2 linked regions of the Notamacropus eugenii genome follow. The protein of the gene in region 1 interacts with the protein of each later gene in a pairwise test. Links are inferred from orthologs where the notes say so. Each region holds a gene or a part of one and is shown in the gene's direction. Other genes may lie near its edges.

Region 1 (10,213 bases):
CAGGGTAATTTGGGAATTTGATAGGGAGGAAAAAAGGTAAGAAAATAATAGAATTTAAAGGACTCAACTTCTCAGCCAAAGCAGGAATTCTGTCTAAAACATCTGGGACAGTCAAGAAGTCTTCATGACACACCTGAATTTAAAAGATAATTCCCATTGACTTAAAAAAACCAAAAAACTATACTATAATACAGTATTGACTGATTTAGGATTCAAAAGACATTTAATCCTGGCTGACTGTCCTTAATTAGCTATCTGGCTTTGGGCAAGCCACTTTCCCTTCTGAGTCTCAGTTTCTTTATACAAGAGGAAGATCACTTTTTGCTGAAATAACCAGAGAAAGGTAGTGAAAGATATGGGGTTTGAGATGGGTTCTGGAGACTTGAAGAAGGTATTCTAGGTAAGCAAGGGCATTAACGGGAAAAAGAGTATGCAGACAAAGCTTAGTGTATGATGATGTGGATGAAGAAGATAGTTTGTGCTAGAATCCACTGATGCTAATTTAGACGGAGTGGGGGGGAGGTCTCAGTCTAGACACAGGTGGGCATCTGCTGAACAAAAAAGCATCTTCCTCTCTCCCTCATAATTTTCCCATGGAGAGACAACCATACCTAGGGTACAAAGACAATCTCTAGGGTTTGAAAATTGTGATAGCCAATTTGGGCCATCTGGTGTTGGCATTTAGTCATTCAGTCATGTCTAACTCTTCGTGACTCCATGGACCGTTGCATGCCAATATTATCCATGGGGTTCTTTTTCTTGGCCCATAAAGTTCTCATTTTGTTTTAGCCAAATATTCCACATTCCTAGCAAACAGGTCTCTCCCTAACAGAGAACATGCTTGCTCAGACAAATGCAATGTTCCCAATTAGAATTTCTTGCCTTGCTCTCCATTGGACAGATGCAGCCTCCTGAACCTCCCACTTCATGTTCTCTTCCCTGATAGGTTCCCATGGCGTTCTTTTAGCAAAGATATTACAATGGTTTGCCATTTCCTTTTCCAGTGGATTAAGACAAATAGAAGTTATGTGACTTGCTCAGGGCCACACAGGTAGTAAATGTCTGAGGTCACATCTGAACTCAGGTCTTCCTGACTCTAGACCCAGTGCTTTATCCACTGAGTCATCTAGACACCTCCAAAAAAGATAAGGAGCTAAGCAAGCACCACCGGGATTCCAAACCAGGATCTTCTGTTTACTAGACAGGAGCTGTAACCAACTAAGCCACAGTGCCACCCAAGCCCATCTACAAGCTCAAATTTGGGAATACAGACCTATATAGATCACTTTACTTCTCTGGGCCTCAGTTTCCTCTTCTGTGTAATAAAAAAGTTTTACTAGATGGACTCTGAGGTCCCTTCTGGCTGTAGCTCTATGATCCTAAAACATGGGGTCTTAATGTGGGGTCTTTGAACTTTAAAAAATTTTGATAACTAATAAAATTACTTGTAATCTCTTGTGCTTTATTTTATGCATTTAAAAACATGATTCTGAGAAGGGGTCCATAGGTTTCACCCCAGGCTTAAACCATCATCCAGCTCAGGTGTAGGTGCAGAAAGGTCAACATATCACAGAAGGGCTAAAACCATCCAAGCAGAGCCCAAGTAAACTCATGATGGCGGAGACGTAGGTATCACCACTGATGCTCACATGTGTGGTTCGTGCTGTGAATATATGCTAATGCATATGTGTCATTTTTTGTATTCTGGTTTTCTTTTTTACTTTTTATGTTTTCTGATTTATGTACTAATGACATGCATTGTACTAATATATTACTGTTGCTAAGGATGCTTACTAACCATATAATTTTACTGTTTTACATTCACATCCTTATATACTAGGTATGTATATTCATGGGTCTTTGTAAGGTATTCTTGTAATATATCCCGCATATAATTTAGGCCTCTAGTCATAAAGTAGTTCTATCAAGTGATAATTTGCATTATGCAGTGCTTACTGCGGGTAATGTTAACATAGCTATGATCTGTAAACAGTACAGTGGAATGCTTTAAGTTGCTGTTCAAGTGTATCAGTAAAACTTTGTGGGGACTATAAAATCTTTTGCTGAGAGGTAGGAATGTAACAAATGTGTAGTTAGGAAGAGCCTTTCTTTGAACTTTTTGGTTTCGGCCCAGAACTACACATTCCACAAATGAACCGGAGAGCTCAGAAGTGTCTAGTACTAAACAGCGAGGAGATGTGGTTAAATGTCAGGGGAAATGGAGTTCTTTAAAAGACTGACTGGACCACGCAGCTGTGGGATTGCCCAGGACAGGGGAACTGGACTCATACCAAGAAACAGTCATACCAGACAACCATGATATCCACGGGGTTGGATTCAACTTGCCTGGTAGAGGGAGTCCCTATCTTCTTCCCTTGGGCTTTTGGGATGGGAGACTGTAGCCACCTGGGTTTCTGGGAAGTCAAATGACATTTCGATAAGTATTTTGAGAGAAGTAAGGTCAACATACCTGCACTGGGATTTTGTAAGAGAGCTCAAGAGTTCTCCTGGTCAGGGATTGGTTGAATTGGAAAGCCTGACGGTAACCTCCCCCACCTGTCCCTTTTTTTCTATTTATCACTGACATTGACAGGAGGAATAAATAATATTGTTCCTTTGCAAGTGGCTTCTATTAATGTTGATTCTCTGGGGTTTTTTGGGACAGCTAGGTGGCACAATGGATAGCTGGGAGTGAGGAAGACTCTTCTTCCTGAGTTCAAATCTGACTTCAAACACTTACTAGATGTGTGACCCTGGGCAAGTCACTTAACCCTGTTTGCCTCCATTTCCTCATGTAAAAAATGAGGTGGAGAAGGAAATGGCAAACCATTTCAACTTCTTTGCCAAAAAATATCCCCAAGAGTCAAACACAACCCAACAACAAATACTGTGTTTATTATCTTTCTATGTCTTGTAGTAAACATACCTAAACTATTATTTGAATCTGTTTTTCTTTTAGTTCACGTGGATTAGGGACTGAGGCAATCAAGATATGAACCATACACCTAAGATATATTTTAGAGATGTTCATGGAATCAAAGTCAAAATTGTAACATTTAGGAAATATTTTATGTGAATGATTCTTTCACATTTTTAAAAGCCTAGAGAGAGCCTAGAAGAATCTGGATCAAGGTTAGGGGGACAGAAGCTTGCCATATATAGCAACCTCAACAACTGTGGTCAGCTATTGAAAACTGTGCTTCCAACATCTCCCTTGAGGAGAGACAGGATAGAAGAGGGAAAGAAACAGGCTCTTATTAAATGGCTACAACGTGCTGGGCAATGTCCTAAGAATTTTACAAATATCTCATCTGCTCCTCACAACAACCAAGGGAAGTAGGTACTATTATTATCTGTATTTTACACTGAGGAAAATGAGACAGAAATTGAATGACTTGTCCAGGGCCACAGAACGAGTAAATTTCTGAGGCTGAATTTGAACTCAAGTCTTACTGAGTCCAGGTCCAGTGGTTTAAAAACTTTGCCACCTAAATGGACCTCTAATATTACTGTTATAGGGAGTTCCTTCTTGCTAAGAAACTTTTCCTTTCAGCATTTATTAGCATTTTTCTGTAACCATTTTAGAGAGTTGCCTTGAGGGATGGGGATAAAACTTCTCACTCTATGAGGAACCTTTCAGGCCTCTTGCTCTATGTGGAATGTCTATCATCTAATTTCCTTATTTTACTAATAAGTAGAGGCTAAAGAAGGTGACTTGTTTAAGGTCACAGAGTAAGTGGGTGAGGTGGGAATAGAACCCAGTCCTCCTGTGCTGTGGTGAGGGATGTTTCCATTCTAATTATGCTGCCCCCACCTAGGAGGGAGCACATTTGTTTGGCATCAAAGAATAAAGAAAAAGCATTGGTCTTTGATTCAGAAGACTGGGATTTGAATGCTGTGATCTTGGACAGGTCACCTAACAAATGAGATAATATTTGTAAAATGCTTAGCATATAGTAGGTTATATATATATATACATATATATGTACATATATGTATATATATATATATATATATAGCTTAATTCTTCTTGGCCTCAATTTACTATTTATAAAAAACAAGGGGGTTATATCTCTCCAGCTCCTGCTTGCTTTCCATTTATGATCTTCCTGTTGTGATTCGTGGCTTTCTGGTCCCAGGTGTGACAGATCCCTGGATGGAAGGGCTAATACGTGGCATAGGAGAATTGCTGGTCTGTGGCTTCCTCTGATTCTGTCCTAAGAGCTCCCTCAGGAGAGAGCAGGGCTCTAGTGACAGACAATGCATCTGCTGTCTATGCTGGCTCATCATAAGAATGTTGGCCATGGAAGGAGAACTATTTTTGGCCATACCAGGTCATGAATATCATCTCGCTTAGGAAGGGAGTACCCACCAGCACTGAAGGAAACATTAATTTTAAAGTAGAAGTTCAATTGAACATTTTATCTTTCACTATTTTTACATCATTCTCTGTTTCATAATGCATCTAAGTCATGTCTCCCCAAAGAGACTGCGGATTCCTTGAGGGGAAAGATAGATACTTTGATTTAATGATGGAACCTAAGATTGGTATACAGTTAACACTCAATATTATAACAATCCATATTTGTATAGCATAGTGCAGTGTACAAAGCATTTTTCTCACTACCCTATGGAGGAGATAGGGAAAAAAATATTAAGTGAATTAAAGAGGAATTTCCACATCCATAGGTCTACTTATGGTGTCTATGCAGGTAACTCATCAAAGCTAAATATTCAGCACCTCCCTCTCTTCTGAATTTCAGTCTTGCATCACCAATAGCCTCTTGGACTTCTGGAACTAGAAGTCTTGGAGATAGCTAAACTCAACATTCAAAAACAAAGCCCATAGTATTCTTTTCCTCTACCCTCAACCCCCTGATTTTTGAAAATTTCCTATTCCTGTCCCAGGTACCACTATCCTTCCTGTCTCCCAAGTTCCTAATCTCAGCACTATCATTAACTCTTTAATTTCCCTCACCCCAAACATCCAGTCGGTTGCCAGATCTTGATGTCTCTTCTTTCACGACTTTTCTCTTATCCAACTTTCTCTCTGCTCATTGAAAAATCCCCCCTATTTCAGGTCCCATCACCTCTCATTTCAGATTATTGCACAGGCCTCCTAACTGGTCTCCCTGACTTCTCTTTCCCCATTCCAGATCACACATCTGCCTATATTACACCTACTCAAAAACTCTAGTGGCTTCCTATGGTCTCTAGGATTAAATGATCCAATAAAAACTCCTCCGTGTGCCTTTCAAAGCCCTTCACAAGCTGGCCCCGACCTCTATTTCTGGCTGCATTATACATTACTGTTCCTCCTAAGCATCTTGGTCCAGTCAAACTGGCTTTATTCTAGATCCTTACACACCAAGCCCTTAATCTCCCATCTCCACGCCTTTGCCTGGAAGGTACTCCTTCCCCACTTCCTCCTCCAGAATGTCCCTTTTCCTTCTGGATGGTTAGCTTTTATCTTGTCTTTCTCCTGTACATCTGCAGACATGTATATAATGTCTCCTCGAACAGAAGCTGAGCTCCTCGGGAGGAGGGACTGTTTGATTTTGTATGGGTTTCACCAGCTCCCACAACAGTGACCAGCATGGGGCAGGTGCTGGATAAATGCTTGCGGAAGGGAACGAGCTGTTCACACGATTAACTTCACACTTGCCAGGCTCGTGGTCACCGAAGACAAAGGTCCCGGAACGTGGAGTCCACGGAGAAGCTCGGGTTCAAAGCCAGACTTTGCTCCTTCTAGTTGGGTGACCTCGGCAAAGCCCCAACTTCTGTTTCGTCGTCTTTAAAAAAAATGGGGGGGAGCGGTGGGCTAAGACTCTTCCTCTTCCTTCAAGCTCCAAAGGACAAGACCCCACGACAGAGGAGATGGATGTCGATGGAGGGAAGCGTCCTACCTGGGCAGGTGGGCCCGCGGCTGCTGAGGAGCCACGCTCCGCCCCGGGCAGGACGGGGTTAATGGAGTAAGCCCTGAACTTGGTCAGTTACAGCTTCCAGCTGGGAGGCCTTCAGGCCATAGTGTGCGCAGGCGCGAGCAGAAGGCGCAGCACTGAGCCCGCCCCACACGCGGCAGGATGTGGTTAAGCGAGAGCGCCTTCTAGTGGTCTATCGAAGCTTCTTCAGCTTTCCGGTCAGTGTGCGCAGGCGCGAGCAGAAGGAGCAGGGTTGAGCCCGCCCCATACAGGGCAGGATGTGGTTAAGCGAGAGCGCCTTCTAGTGGTCTATCGAAGCTTCTTCAGCTTTCCGGTCAGAATGTGCGCAGGCGCTGGCAGAGCGAGCTGTCTCGGGCTCGCAGGAGCTCAGCCTTACAGAACTGAGCCGGACACGACAGGGTTAAGCCGAGAAACGTGTCTGCCGTCCAGGTCAGAAGGCTCGAAGTAGACGGGTCTAGGCGTGCGCAGGCGCTCTGAGAGCGAGGGGGGCGGGGTACGGGAGGATCGCGCAGGCGCGCTACGCAGGGAGACGTGTCCCCCGGACTGGGTGGCCGGAAGTAGCCCGTACGGACTTGGATCTGGCCGGGTCTTGCAGGCGTCTGCCCGGTCCGTCAGTGCTGTCTGTCAGTTCAGCCGGCCCCCAGGATGCTGAAGAAGTTCGACAAGAAGGACGAAGAGTCCGGTGAGGGCCGGGGGGGCGGCTCCGGGACCCCGGGCCTGATGCAAGGCGGAGGGGGACCCCCTCTCCCCATGCCAGCTAACGGGCCGGGCGGGGCGGCCGGGCGGGGCCGCGGGGCCGGCGGGTGGGGGGCGTCCTCACTGCCCGAGGTCAGGGGCCCAAGCTGTTTGGGGAGCACGTCCCTCCTTGTTTAAAGGGAAGGCCTGCCGGGTGCCAGGCCCGAGTGAAAAAGCTGGGCAGACCCTGTCCGCAAAGGGCTTATCTTCTGCTGTGCAGCGTGTCACATACTTACAGGACGTGGGGGGCCGTTGACAGTGGGGGGACAACATGTCAGATAATTACAGGACATGGGGGAACGCTAACAACGCTGGGGGGGAGCAGCATGTCATAATTACAGGACGTGGGGGGCCATTGACAGTGGGGGGACATTAACAACACTGGGGGGGAGCAGCATGTCGTAATTACAGGACGTGGGGGGCCATTGACAGTGGGGGGACATTAACAACACTGGGGGGGAGCAGCATGTCGTAATTACAGGACGTGGGGGCCATTGAAATGGGGGGACATTAACAACACTGGGGGAGCAACATACAGATGTTGGGACTTGGGGGGGACATTAGCAACACTGTACATTCTTAAGGATTTATATTATCTTAGAACCAGCAGCATGTGTACATACAAGTAAATGCAAAATTCATACAAAGTAAATAAATAATCCAGGAGGTGAGGTAAGGGGATACAGTAGCACCTGCAGGGATAGGTAGATAGTGTTATTTGAACCAAGTGTTCAAGAAAGCTGGTTATTCTAAGAGTCAGAAGTGAGGAGGGAACACTTTGCAGATACAGGACAGCTTTTGCCATGACATCAAGATGGACGATGGATTATGTGTGTGCATATTAGTTTGGCTGGAATGAAAGGTGCATGAGGCATGTGATATGTAATAAGTCAGGAAAGGTAAGTTTGGAGTAAGTGTGAAGAGCTTGCAATACCAGCTGAATTTTGTTTTATCCTAAAGGTTATAGGGATTGGAGCTTTTTAAGCAGTGGATTGATCTGGTCAGGCTTTGCTTTAGTAGTGTCACTTTGGTAGCTGTGTGAGGGATGGATTGGGGAAGGGAAGGATTTGAGAGAGGAAGACCATCTAATAATCCAGGCAGAAGGTAATGAGTTCCTGAAGTAATGGTAGATGTGTGAGTGGAGAGGAGATGAATGCAAGAAATGTGGTGGAGGTAAAATTGACATTTGACCATGTTGGATGTGGCAGAGGTGAAAGAGACCTAGTTGAAGTCGCCTCAAAATTTTGAACCTGGGCAAGTAGAATAGTGGCATCCTTGATAAAAGGATAATGTGGGAGGGAGAGTACTTAAGGTACTTCAGCCAGCGTGAGGTACAGAGACTTTTACAGGATAATAGGATTGAGAGGTGGCAGAAATCTTAGAGACTATCTAGCCTAAGCCCCTTGTTTGATAAGTGGGGAAACTTGAAGCCCAGAAAAGATGAGTTTACCCCCAGGCAGCACAGTAGGTACCAGAGTCAGGACTTGAACCTAAATTAATCTCTTCCATTTATTTGTTCATTTATCCATTCATTACATCATTCTGTCTTTCATATTAGTAATTTAACAAAATGTCTACTATGTGCAAAGAGATATCAGTCAGTCACTAGCATTTTTTATGCGCCACCTGTGTGCTAGGCACGAAGATAAATGGAATAGATGCCTTCACAGAACTTATAATCTAATAGTAACCAAAAAGTATTCAGATATAATGCATGTTAAATGATTATAACTGTGTAAGGGGAATGTCAAAGTACTTTGAGATCAGATGAGACCAATCACTTTCAGCTGTCTAGCTTGAGGCAAGAAGGAGATGAAGGGGGAATTCAGGAAAGGCTTCCTGGAGGAGGTGGACTTTAAACTGGGCTTTGCAGAATAGGTAGGATGTCAGATGATGGAAGTAGGTGGAAGAAGACTTCCAAATTTAGAAAGTAATATAAATAAAAGTTCAAGAGTAGAAAAATTCAGGTCAGTTTAGGAAACAATGAACCAGTCTAATTTCACTGGAATGTGGAGTACTTGAGGGAAGGTAGAGTGAAATAAAACTGGAAAAGCAGGGAGGTCCCAGATGGTGGGAGCCTTAAATGCCAACCTGAGAAATTCAGAGACAGTGATATTGTCTAAGAAGTTAAAGTATTCATAAGATTACAGGTTTAGAGCTAAAAAAGACCGAAGGGTCATCTAGTCCAGCCCCTTTTTATTGATGAGGGAATTGGAGACCAGAAACATGCTTTTACTTGCTTGATAATTACTCAGATTGTAAGTACGTAGTAAGAATCAGAACTTGAACTCAGGTCTTCTCCACATCCAGTCCTCTCTCTATTGCATTATGCCATCTTTGTTCCTGTCCTATACTACACAGGGTGCTTACTACTCCTTGGAAGTTAGTTATCAGGAAAGATATAAACCCAGAAGACCAGAAGCCCACCAGGACCTGGGAAAGTTCTGTCTAGTATAAACTTTGGCACCATCCTAGTTAGAGAGAGACAGAGGAAGGGCAGAAGGATATCATAAACTATTCAGCTGTGGATTTGAGAAGCTTTTGATGACATACCAAGAACTCGAGGCAGAAATTGGAGCTGAAGCCTGGAATCCAGAATATACTCCTTAGCAGTAATGTTGGCTTATGTACATGAATGTAGAGAGGGAACAGAAAACCTCAGGAGGGGTCTCCTATGCTTACCCATGGATAGGGTTGCATAATTCACAGATGATCTTAAAAGATCTTCCTGGTTCCCTTACTGCTCAGGTCTCTCATGGAGCCCATCTGTGTACAGCTGAACCTCAGAGTCCTGCTCAAGCCTTTGCAAATGTTTCCCTAGCTGTTGCGTTAGGATTCAAAGACTCATCCCACTCAGGATGTGGATAAAGGTGACACCTAGGAGGATAAGAGTCACTTTTCCCCACTACATTAAGCTAATACTGTGTTAGTTATGAAGCCCTTGGCTTACAGGTTTTCTTGTCTTCTGTCTCTTGTTTTTTCTGAACTGTTTCTATTTCAACAGGCTCAATTCTATACTCTCTCTTGCAATGTTTCCACCAATCTCTGCCCATGTGGTAAAATTTGACTAGATCATTTCATCTTCTTTTGGTGCACTGAAGTTGTTTTCTTTGCATGTTCACTGGCATTGAGTAAAACTGAAGTTTTTTGCGTAGGATCATCTCTTCTTCCAGAGCTAACATTCTCAGGAGACCATTATTAAGTTTTTCTTACTTAACCAGAGGGGGATGATATAGTAAACCTTGAGGAACCCTGTGCATGTTTCTTTTCTTTCTTTTTTAATATTTTATTTTTTCCCAATAATATACATTTTTTATTTAATATTTGTTTTTAAAATTTTGAATTCCAAATTCTTTCCTTCTCCCCTCATCCCATGCTGAGACGGTAAACAATTAGATTTAGATTATACATGTGTAATCATGCAAAACATGTTTCCATACTAATCATGTTGTGAAAGAAAACACAGATCAAAAAAAAAGAGAAAGAAAAATACTACGCTTCAGTCTGTATTCAGACTCCCATCACTTCTTTCTCTG
Region 2 (10,722 bases), on another chromosome or scaffold:
GAGGAGGGGGGAAAGAAAATCTAAGACTTGTGGAAGTGATTGTAGAAAACTGAAAAAAATTAATTAATTAATTAAAAGAAAATAAAAGAAAATTTTAAAAATTGAGCTTATTATCTTTCCCCCAAATCTTCCTCTCTTTCACATTTCTCTATTATTGTTAGGACACCACCATTTCCCTAGCCATACGGGCTTGCAATCTAACATCATCTTCTCCTCCTCACATATCCAATCCCACATGTCCAATCTGTTGCCAAGTCCTATTGTTCCTACCTTTAAAAGACCTCTTTAATAAATCCTCTTCCCTTCACTCACAAAGGCACTCCCTGATTGGGGCTCTCATCACCTTGCACCTGGAATATTGTGGTGGCCTTCTAAATTGATCTCCCTTCTTCAAGTCTCTTCTTAGTCTAGCCTATCTTCCACTCAGTTGCCAAAGTTTGGACAGGTTTGACAATGTGATTTCCCTACTCAATAAACTCCAGTGGCCCCCATTACTTCCAGGTTCAAATATATGTGTTTAGACCTTATGTGTTGCAATGAGGGCCTGTGCCCAGCATGTAGCATGGGGGCATCTTTGTAAGGACTGAAGAAAGCCAAAGCAGATAACTATAGTATCTTGTCCCCCCTATCCTTCTCCAAGAGAGACCTTAATTCCTACCAGGAGAGGAAGCAGGGGTCAGAAGCTTGGCTACTCTGCTGTCCTCAGAGAGAGAGGGTACTGGGCTAGAATTTAGATATTTAGCTAGCTAGAGATAGATTTATATTTATTATATATATTATTACACATAATATAATAATATGTAATTATATAGCATAATATTATTATACATATTTACACTTTCTTAAATATTATTAGTATAGAAGATGAGGTTTTCAGGTTCAAGCTAACTTCTGATTATTATGTCAATGTTAGGGGGCAGGAGGACTCCCAACCACTACATCTGAATCTTGACCCCTTTTCCCCCAAATACCAGTTCTATAATGAATACACATAGCAATCATCAAAGAAAACTCATTTATCTAAATTGGTAGCAAAGCAAAAATCAGAGAAAGTATACATAGGAGAGTATATACCAGGCAATAGTGAGTGAAGGAGCTTTCCCACTGGGATCAACCAAGAGAGAGTTCTAGATCTTACTGAAGGGGAAATTCCCCAAAGTCTCTAGAGTAGCAAGCTGGGGTGTATGGAGTACTCAAAGAGGACTAGCACCTCAGGTATGAAGACTTGCTCAGTCCTTTTTCAGGGATTCTCATCCAGCTTTGATGTCTTCCTGATTCACCCAACTCTCACCTGTGGCTACAAGACTTCAGCTTGCACAGCAGCCTCACCCTAGTATGAAAAGCAGATTGAGGGTAACTGAGGGGTCTCAAACTCATTGGTAAACTAGGGGGCTATCTACCCCATACATGTGAAGACATTTGGGGTAGATTCTGGGACAGAATGGGTGGATGAGAACAATTTGTTCCAATGACCATGAAGACAGTTGAAGCAGTTGCTGTGGAGCTCTTAGAGCTTGCTTAGGCATCTGAGACACCAAGGTTATCTACCACATCCAGGGCCATTGCCAGTCATGTTGACTTTTGTCCTACCACTGGCTTTTGATGATTTAGGAAAAAAATTAATCTGATGACTTTGTGCAACTGCCTCAATTAAACCCAATTCACCTGCAATTCAAGACATCACCCTGGGATGTCATCGGTCCTCTTAGAAAACAAAGGACAAAGAGCAACATTATAACAGGAAGCTGGGAATAGGGACCCAATGGAGACTGTCAGATCCTCTTGTGTCTTTCCAGATTCTTTTCCATCAGCAACTTGAAGTGGGCTTGGCCTCTTCCATATTCCCTCTCAAAGATGGAAGCCAGAAACACCCAAAAGGACTCAAAGAAGATCCAAATTAAAACTAAAGAGATCTCCCCTTACACTCTGGCCAACTCACACACATCCTTCCTCCCTCTATCTCCCCCCTCCTTTATAGAGACAGAGGACATTGATCTCCATCCATCGATGGGTTTAGGGACTGGAGTTACACATAAAATGCTGTTTGGTTTTTAAAATCCTTCACAACCTTATCTCTTCTTATCTTTCCAGTTTCTTTTACTTTAACTCCCCTCTGAGTACTCCGTGATCCAGCAGCACTGGCCTTCTTATCCCTCAAATACTACCCTCAGTTTCTCAGCTCTGTTCTTTTTTGTCTCTCCTCCGTGCCAGGAATGCCCTCTCTCTTTTGTCTCAGGTTCTTGGCTTTCCTGGCTTCCTTCAAGACAGCTCTGCAAAAGGCCTTTCACTGTCTTCCTCCCCATTCTCAACTGTTAGGACCCTCCCTCTGATATTCCCTTAAATGTTCTTTCTCCATTTCTCTGTATCTCTCTTTCTCTCTTCACTGTTCCTTTCCTTCTCTCTCCTTCTTTCTCTCTCCTCTCCTCTCCTCTCTCTCATATAGATATGTAGAAAGATATAGACATGGATACCTATGTCTATATATCTTCTTGTCTCCTCCATTCAATTGTTAGTTCTTTAAGGATAGGTATTATTGTAAAAAAATTATCTCACGTGACTCACTCATTCACTTATGTGGTTGATTTGTTGGTTGTTCTTTGTTCTCAGAAAGAACCCAAATGACACCATTATGTTGAGGTCAAGGTACAGTGAGTCTGACTGTGGCTGATCAGACCAATTTGTACACAGAAGGCTCTACCACAGGTCAGGCACTTAGTATTGCTTAATAAATGATTTTTGATTTGACAACTCAAGGAAAACATGAGCTCAGATCCTGCCCTTGACATATACAAGCTACATGATTATGGGCAGGTCATTTAACCTCTCAGTATCCTAGGCAACTCTCCAAGAATATGTTATATGAATCTGTACACTGAGTAACAACTATGATCAATCATGGGCCTGAAGACAAGATGAGGAAAAATAGAACCCTTCTGGCTGAGTGGATAGAGTAGATGAGAGAACTCATCTTCCTGAGTTCAAATCCAGCCTCAGACACTTACTAGCTCTGTGAACCTGAGCAAGTCACTTAACTCTGTTGGCCTCAGTTTCCTCCTCTGTAAAATGAGCTGGAGAAGGAAATGGAAAACCACTCTAGTATCTTTGCCAAGAAAACCCTGAATGGGGTCACAAAAAGTAGGACGTGACCGAACAATAAAAACAACCACCCTTCTTTTGTAACAGAGGTGGAAAACTATGGGTATGGAATGTTGTACATGTAGTCACACTGGATTATGGTGTTGTTTGACCTTGCTTAACTTTTTGGTTGTTGTTAGAAGCAAAGGCTCTCAGGGGTTAAGGGGTAAAGTAAGAGTACAGCTGAAAATGATTATAATATAAACAAAAACATACATACATATATATGTATTTATGCATGTGTGTGTGTATATACAAAAGAATCCAAGGTACAAATGAATTGTAGATATTCCCTAATGCCAGCATTATATACTGGGATTCCTTAATAATTAAATTATAGATCCAGACCAAAAGAAAAAATTCATACCAATATAAATCTCCATTATTTCAGAGAGTTGAGGTGTCTCTATTTTTGGTTTAAGGGGGCCACTGTTCCCCTCTACTGCTATACAATACAAACAATTGAGCTGACTAAGAGGGCTGGACTAAACTTGAGGATCCCTTTGATTTCTATGATTCTAGGTCTAAATCTGTGATGGGAAGTGTTTACAAGGTTTTCAAAAGATTGCTCCAAAAGTTGTTCCCAATGTCTTCAACAGCAATGTATGTGTAGATCCTACATAGAATTGTATGCTGTATTGGGGAGGGAGGGGGTGGTGGGGGTTAGGTAGGGGGGGGAAAATCCAAGTTTTATAGTAGTGATTGTAGAACATTAAAAATAAAATGAACATTTATATATATGTATATATATGTTATATATATATACAAATAAAGTTGTTCCCTATTTAATTTTATCATTTCTGGGTTTTTTGATTACTAGTCTCTTCTGGATTTTGAGTAAGATATTGGTAATATGAGAAGAGACAGTTCATGTTTCTGGACTCTTGATACTAGACCAAAAATATGGGCTCTGCCCACTGCTCTCTGTAAGTCCCCGGTGGGAATCAGAAACCCAGAAGAACAAATAAGAGTGTGTGAATGAGAAAAAATGGAGGACAATTTGCTATGAGCTTTTTCTTTTCCGTTCTTAGGCTTCCCCTATCACTCAGATGACTTGATTATCATCTCCTCCTTCTCCTGTTTTATATGATAAAGTGGCCTCACTCCTTACCAAGGCCAACTCCTCTACTTGTTCAAGTGATCCCATTCCATCCTATCTCCTCCAACAGATTGCTCCCTCTGTCATCCCTACTCTTTCACTTATTTTCAATCTCTCCTTGTCTACTGGTTCCTTCCCTACTGCCTATAAACATGTTCGTGTGCCCCTCATCCTGAACAAAAAACCCCTCACTTTGTCCTTCCATCCCCTCTGTCTTCCTATATGTCTTCTCTTTGTAGCTAAATGCCTCGAGAAAGCAATCTATACTAGGTGCCTCCGCTTCCTCTCCTCTCATGGTCTTCGTAACCCTTTACAATCTGGCTTCTGACTTTATCTTTCCACTGAAACTGCTCCTCCAAAATTACTAGTGACCTCTTAGTTGCCAAATTCAGTGGTCTTCTCTCAGTCCTCCATCTCCTGTCCCCTTGACTTCTCTGCATTTGACCTCTCTTTGCCACTGTTGATCACTGTTTCCTCCTTGATACTCTCTTCTCTCTAGGTTGTCAGGATGCCACTCTCTCCCCGTTCTCCTCCTTCCTATCTGGTTGCTTCTCTTCTGTCTCCTTTGCTGGATGCTCTTACAGATCATGCCCTTTAACTGTAAGTGTCCCTCAGGGTTCTGTCCTGGGCCCTCTTCTCTTCTCCCTCTGTACTTTCTATTTCATCAGCTCCCATGGATGCAATTAACATCTCTATATTGATGGTCTTTAAATCTACCTATTCTGCCCTAAACTCTTCTGACCTCCAACTACCATTCAGACGTCTTCAACTCTGTGTGTCCAAAACAGAATTCATGATCTTTCTCCCTAAACCACACCCCACCCTTTCCCTAATACTGTCCAAGGCAATGCCATCCTCCCAGTCCATAAGACTGGCAACCTAGGAATCACTCTGGATCTCTCTCTATATATATCCAAGGTTTTGCCAAAGTCTGCCAATGTTGCCTTTGCAACGTCTCTTGAATACCTCCCCTTTTCTCCTTTGATACTTCCACCTTTCTAGTACAGGTCCTCATCACCAAACACCTGGATTATTGCAATAGCATGTGGTGGGTCTGCCTGCCTTAAGATTTTCCCCCACACCAATCCATCCTCCGTTCAGCCACTTAAAGTGACTTTACCAATCATGCTATACTGCTACTCAATAAACTCCAGCGGCTCCCTATTGCCTCTAGGAGCAAATATAAAATGTCCCATTTGGCATTCAAAGTCCTTTATAACTTATCCCCTTCCAGTCTTCTGATTTCTTAGTCTCCAATGAGTGCTCTTTGATCCAATGACACTGGCCCCCTGCCTATTTCATAAACAAGACACTCTATCTCTCAGCTCAGGGCATTTTCTCTGGCAGTTCCCCATGCCTGGATCGCTCTTCCTCCTCTGCTGGCTTCCTTTAAATTCCAACTAAAATCTCATCTTTTACTGGAAGCCTTCCCTGATCCCTCTTCATTCTAATGTCTTCATTGTGTTAATTATTTCCTATTTATCCTGTATATAGTTTGTATTATGCATATATTTGTTTGCATATGGTCTCCCCCATTAGATTGTAAGAGGACTGAACTGTCTTTTGCCTCTTTTTGTGTCCCTCAGGGCTCAGCACGATGCCCAGTACATAATAGGAGCTTAATAAATATTTATTGATTGATTGTATATATGTGTTATGCCTGCGTGCGTGCATGTGTGCATGTGTGTGCGTATGTGGTGGAGACAGGTGAAACACAGGAATGAGAAAGCTCTGAGGGGGAAGTGCAGGTAAGGGTAAAAAGGGATGAAAGTGGAAGGAGAGTTAGGCAAAGTAGAAGAGAGTAGGCCAGAGGGAAGAGAGATTGGGGAGTTTAAAGGAATTTGAAAAGGGAAGAGAAGAAGGAAAAAAAATACAGGAATGAGAAAAGAAACACAAGAAAGGGAGAAGAAAACTGAAAGTGACTTAAGAGAACAAAGGAGAGAAGAAAAGGAAAAGTGAGGAGGGAAAAGAGAAAGGAAAAGAGAGGAATAGAAGAAAGGAAGCCAACATTCATTAAGTGCCTTACATGGGCTAGACATATACTGTGCTAAATGCTTTACAAATGTCATCTCATTTGGTCCTCATGACAATCCTGGGAAGTTGGTCATGTTATTATCTTCACTTACAGTCGAGAAAACTGAAGCAGACAGCTGAACTCACTAATCTAGAGTCAAATAACTAGTTAAGCGTCTGAGATCACATTTGAACTCAGATCTTCCTGACTCCCAGTCCAGCAGAGAGAGAAGAGGGGGGGAAAAGGGAAGTGAGAAAAAAAAGGGAGAAAGGAGAAGAGAGAAAAGGGAGGAAAGAGAAAAACAGGGAATGAAAAGGAGATTGAGAGAGACAGAGAGAGCGAGCGAGAGAGAGAGCGAGAGAGAGCGAGAGAGAGAGCGAGAGAGAGCGAGAGAGAGCGAGAGAGAGCGAGAGAGAGAGAGAGAGAGAGAGAGAGAGAGAGAGAGAGAGAGAGAGAGAGAGAGAGAGAGAGAGAGAGAGAGAGAGAGAGAGAGAGAGAGAGAGAGGTGACGAGACCAGAGGACGAAGCGAGGCTCTGCCGGCCTCCCTCCTCCCTCCCAGCCCTGCATCGCGGGCAGTCCCCTCCCTCGGGGGGCTGCTCCACTCCGACCTCTCCTTTCTGCGCTCAGCGCTCTGCGCTTCGCGCTCCGCGGGCCAGGACGGGCCGGGCCAGCCCCGCGGGGGAGGGCGGCGGAGGCGGGGCCGGAGCCGGGCGGTGCTGTCAGTGCGGAGCTGAGCGGAATGCAGCGGCCCGAGGCCTGGCCACGTCCGCACCCAGGGGAGGGGGCCGCCGCGGAGGTGGCGGCGGCAGCCCGGGGTGGAACGGCGCAGGGCGCTGGGGCCACGGAGCCCCCGGGGCTGCGGGTACGCTGCGCGCTCGGGAGCGTTCGGAGCTGCGACCAACTCACAACTTCCCCAGCTTTAGGGGCGGCGGCGGCCAGGGCGCAGCTCCAGGAACTTTCGGCCACCGCCGTCGTCCGGGCTGGGGCGCGGGGGTCGGAAAGCGCTAGAAGGGCTGGGAGGGCTAGTGGTGTCCTGAGCCCTAGTAAGGAAAGGGCTCTGGGCTACGAGAGGAAAAAAAGTTATGAGCTCTTGGTCCAAACTCATGGGGAGGGTTCTGGATCTGGGCTTGGCTAGAATTCTAGATCGATTTGGGTTCGGTATTGGGGGTGCAGGGTGTGGGCACATTCGACCGTGCACATGTACTAAGAAAAATTCCGAGTGCCTCTTGCTTTCTGGAGGTTCCAGGTGGGCATGCCAACTCTAGGAAAGCGAAAGAGAAGAGTAAGGCTGCCAATTTGATAAGGGATGACGGGTGGGGGTGGGGAAAGGGGAAGCTGTCCCATCCTCCTGGCCAAGTTCGAGACCCAACCATGTGGATGTGTCGGATTCTGCATCTGATTGACATTCCCAAGCTCTCTGGGAAAGTGGATCCCAGTCCTGGATCAGATCCTGAAGCTCTGGAATCAGTAGGGAGAAGGTTCTGCTGGGGGTCAGAAAAGGACCTCCGCGAGTCTCCCCAGCCCAGGTTCTGTGATACACTCCGACTTAGACTCTGGAGCAGTCAGTGCATGACAGAACTTGGGTTTGGGTGGACCTTCTGCACGGAAAGGGGTCACCCAGCAGCAGGCCTTGGCCTCTGAGGCAGAGTAGAAGCTTCCTGGAAACTCAGCAGCCTCAGAAAAGAGGAGTCAGTGGGGATTTCAGTGTTGGGGCAGTGAGGAGACTGCAGAGCAGTCAGACACTGTGGATCTCCATGAAAGGGATCCTGTGAAGCCTGATGATTCCCTTTCTTCAGTGACTGGGATGAATAGGTCTGATGGTCACTTCCCTCCTCAGCCAGCTTACTCTTCCTTTGCTTGGGGTCAGTTGCAGGAACCATCTCTCTACACTGTCAAAGCAGTTTTCATCCTGGATAATGATGGACAACGGCTTCTGGCCAAGGTAACTCCCTATCTCTCTTTCCTATAGCCTCCCCTGCCCCAGCTCATCAGAAAGGTCTCTAGGAATATAACAACCCAGAAAACCAAAGATTAGAGTCCCCTGGACTCCAAGCCAGTGTAAAACACTAGGCCTCCTCCATGGTATCTCAGAATAGATATGAGGTCCACCCACCTGCCACTTTCAGATTTTCAGTTTGGGTTGCATGTAGTATGGTAAAGGAGCATCTCCTTGAGTAGAGCCTTATCTTTCTCCACCCTTTCCAATGGCCAGATGGATCCTAAGAAAATGAGAGGACATCATATTCAGTCTTCTAGGGATTTAGACGTAATGCCACAAAAAAAATGAAACTCAGTGGTCCCAGTTGCCCCAAATCTAGCAACTAAGCTATCTTCATTATCTTCAACTTAGCCAACAGCCGTAATATCACAGAATGTCAGAACTAGAAGTCAGTTTAGAAATTACATAGTCCATCCTGCTACATTTGACAGACAAGGGACCAAAGGCCTAGAGAGGGGAGGTAACTTGCCCAAATTCACAAAGCTAGTTAGTGGCAAAAGCAGGATTAGAACCCAGGTCTCCTGATTACTAATGTGCTTTATGTATCTTGCCATATTATTTCTGTCATGTCTTCATTATGTGTTTATTGGTGGAGGAGAATCATAGTCTAACTAGAAAAAAAATCATGTACATTGTTGTCTCAGTTAGCAGGGTACATAACCTCCAAGTTGTTCACTCTGGAGTTTGGAATGAATTTTTGAATATTTAAAAAATTATGCTTTACTTTTTGTAATATTCAAATAGATTTGTACTCCCAGGCAGACAATACTCCCAAAGCTTTCTGGGGGATGAAGTGAGGCAGCTCATCGGTCCAGTACTGTATTTGTAGAATATCCATAAGTCAGATGTGAAGTTAATTGAGACTCAGCTGTACCTAGTCCTTTGTAGCTGAGAACAAATCATAGGGTCATAGGATTGAGAGATGAAAGGGTCCAGCTGGTACAGCCCCATCATTTTAAAGAAGTGGAAACTGAAGCCCCAGAGGAGGTGAAATAACATCCATGGCACCCACCTAGTAAGTGTTAGAGACTGGATTTATACTCAGGTCCTTTGAACTGGTTTAGGATTTAAAGATCTATCCAGATGTGGTAAATACCACATTTTTCTATAGTTCCTTACTACGCAAATCCCCATGTTAAAAAATGGTGAACCTAAGGCCTAGAGAAGACATTGTAAGTTCATACAATATAGAATGGGAAATAGAGCTCAAGTCTCTTTGACTTTGATTTAAAAAAAAAATAGAACTTTAGTCTCTTTGGCCAAGGTTTCTCCTCATCCCAGACCATTAACTGAATACCCAATCCCAAGTGTTCCAAGCTTCTTGTCCTCCCAGACACATTATACTAAGCTATCAGATAGTGGTCCAAAAGCTCAGGCCAACCATTTCTTTGCCTTGAAAAAAGGCAAAGGGGAAGTTGTACAAAAGCCTGCTGGTGCCTCATTACCAGACTGGATAGCTTCCCCTCCCACAATAGCTAAAGCAGTAGCTCACAGTCACCAAATATTGGATCTGGAAAGGACCTTTGAGATCGGCTAGCCCAACCCCTCCATTTTACTGATAAGGATACTAAGTGGGGAGGTGATTTGCCCAAGGTCATGAATCTAGGAAAGTGTAGGAGGCAGGGCCCCAAACACAAGTCTGGAGGCTCTAGGTTCTAGAGCTGGAATGTTCATTCTACGTTTCTATCTGAGGCCCCAGTAATTATCACAGGCCCTGAAAACTTGGGGGAGATTTGCCTCTAGACAAATTCTCTGCAGAAGAAGTTGAGTTCCTTAAATGATTCAGGACTCTAACACACCTATTTTTTGAACCAAAACCAGCGGGGAGACAAGTGGTGAGGTGATTGTTCCCTTGATGTAGTCTAATTGGCATATTAAGGTCACCAAGCAAACGTGCTGGATTGTTAAGAGAAAACCAGATAGCTGACTGACCTCCAGCTGTTTCTAAAAGAAGACAGCAGGCTTAAAAAACAAATAGTTTCCTTTTTATAATCTTTTTGTCTGGAATTGGCAGTCAGTGGGGTGGGGCCGTGCTGAATGTGTTTGCTCTAGGCAGACCCTGGGGACCTGGGGACTTTGCTGGGAGGTGGCTCTGTGAGTCCAGCCCGCAGCTCCACATTGATTGAACATCCCGCTTCCCCTGCCCCAGCCCACCACGTGGTCATCTCTTCTCCCTTTTCTCTAGTATTATGATGATACATTCCCCTCCATAAAGGAGCAGAAAGCCTTTGAGAAAAACGTCTTCAACAAGACTAATAGAGCTGACAGTAAGTGACTGCATTTCCATTGTTGTCCCCCAATTTAACCCACTTCAGCCTCACTCCCCAGCCCGAAACTCCGCCCTCCAACCAGGCAAAATTTGGCCCTGGCTCCTCCTCACTCCTTTGCCACCTCTGAGACTGCATACAGGCCATTTCTTTTACTTGGGGTGATTGCTCCCCGACTTTGACATGTCTTTCCTTTCTTCTGCCTGT

The links.
Region 2: the proteins of COPG1 (region 1) and COPZ2 interact in a two-hybrid assay, tested with the Homo sapiens proteins (2 studies listed by BioGRID). The link is inferred for Notamacropus eugenii from reciprocal best matches to the Homo sapiens genes COPG1 and COPZ2.

What each region holds. Positions count from the first base shown.
Region 1 is NC_092874.1:425,496,550-425,506,762, forward strand, and holds the start of COPG1 (coatomer subunit gamma-1), read left to right. Parts: upstream 1-6,142; 5' UTR 6,143-6,587; coding exon 6,588-6,624; intron 6,625-10,213. UniProt on the Homo sapiens protein: The coatomer is a cytosolic protein complex that binds to dilysine motifs and reversibly associates with Golgi non-clathrin-coated vesicles, which further mediate biosynthetic protein transport from the ER, via the Golgi up to the trans Golgi network.
Region 2 is NC_092873.1:353,147,078-353,157,799, forward strand, and holds the start of COPZ2 (coatomer subunit zeta-2), read left to right. Parts: upstream 1-6,862; 5' UTR 6,863-6,988; coding exon 6,989-7,111; intron 7,112-8,116; coding exon 8,117-8,191; intron 8,192-10,433; coding exon 10,434-10,515; intron 10,516-10,722. UniProt on the Homo sapiens protein: The coatomer is a cytosolic protein complex that binds to dilysine motifs and reversibly associates with Golgi non-clathrin-coated vesicles, which further mediate biosynthetic protein transport from the ER, via the Golgi up to the trans Golgi network.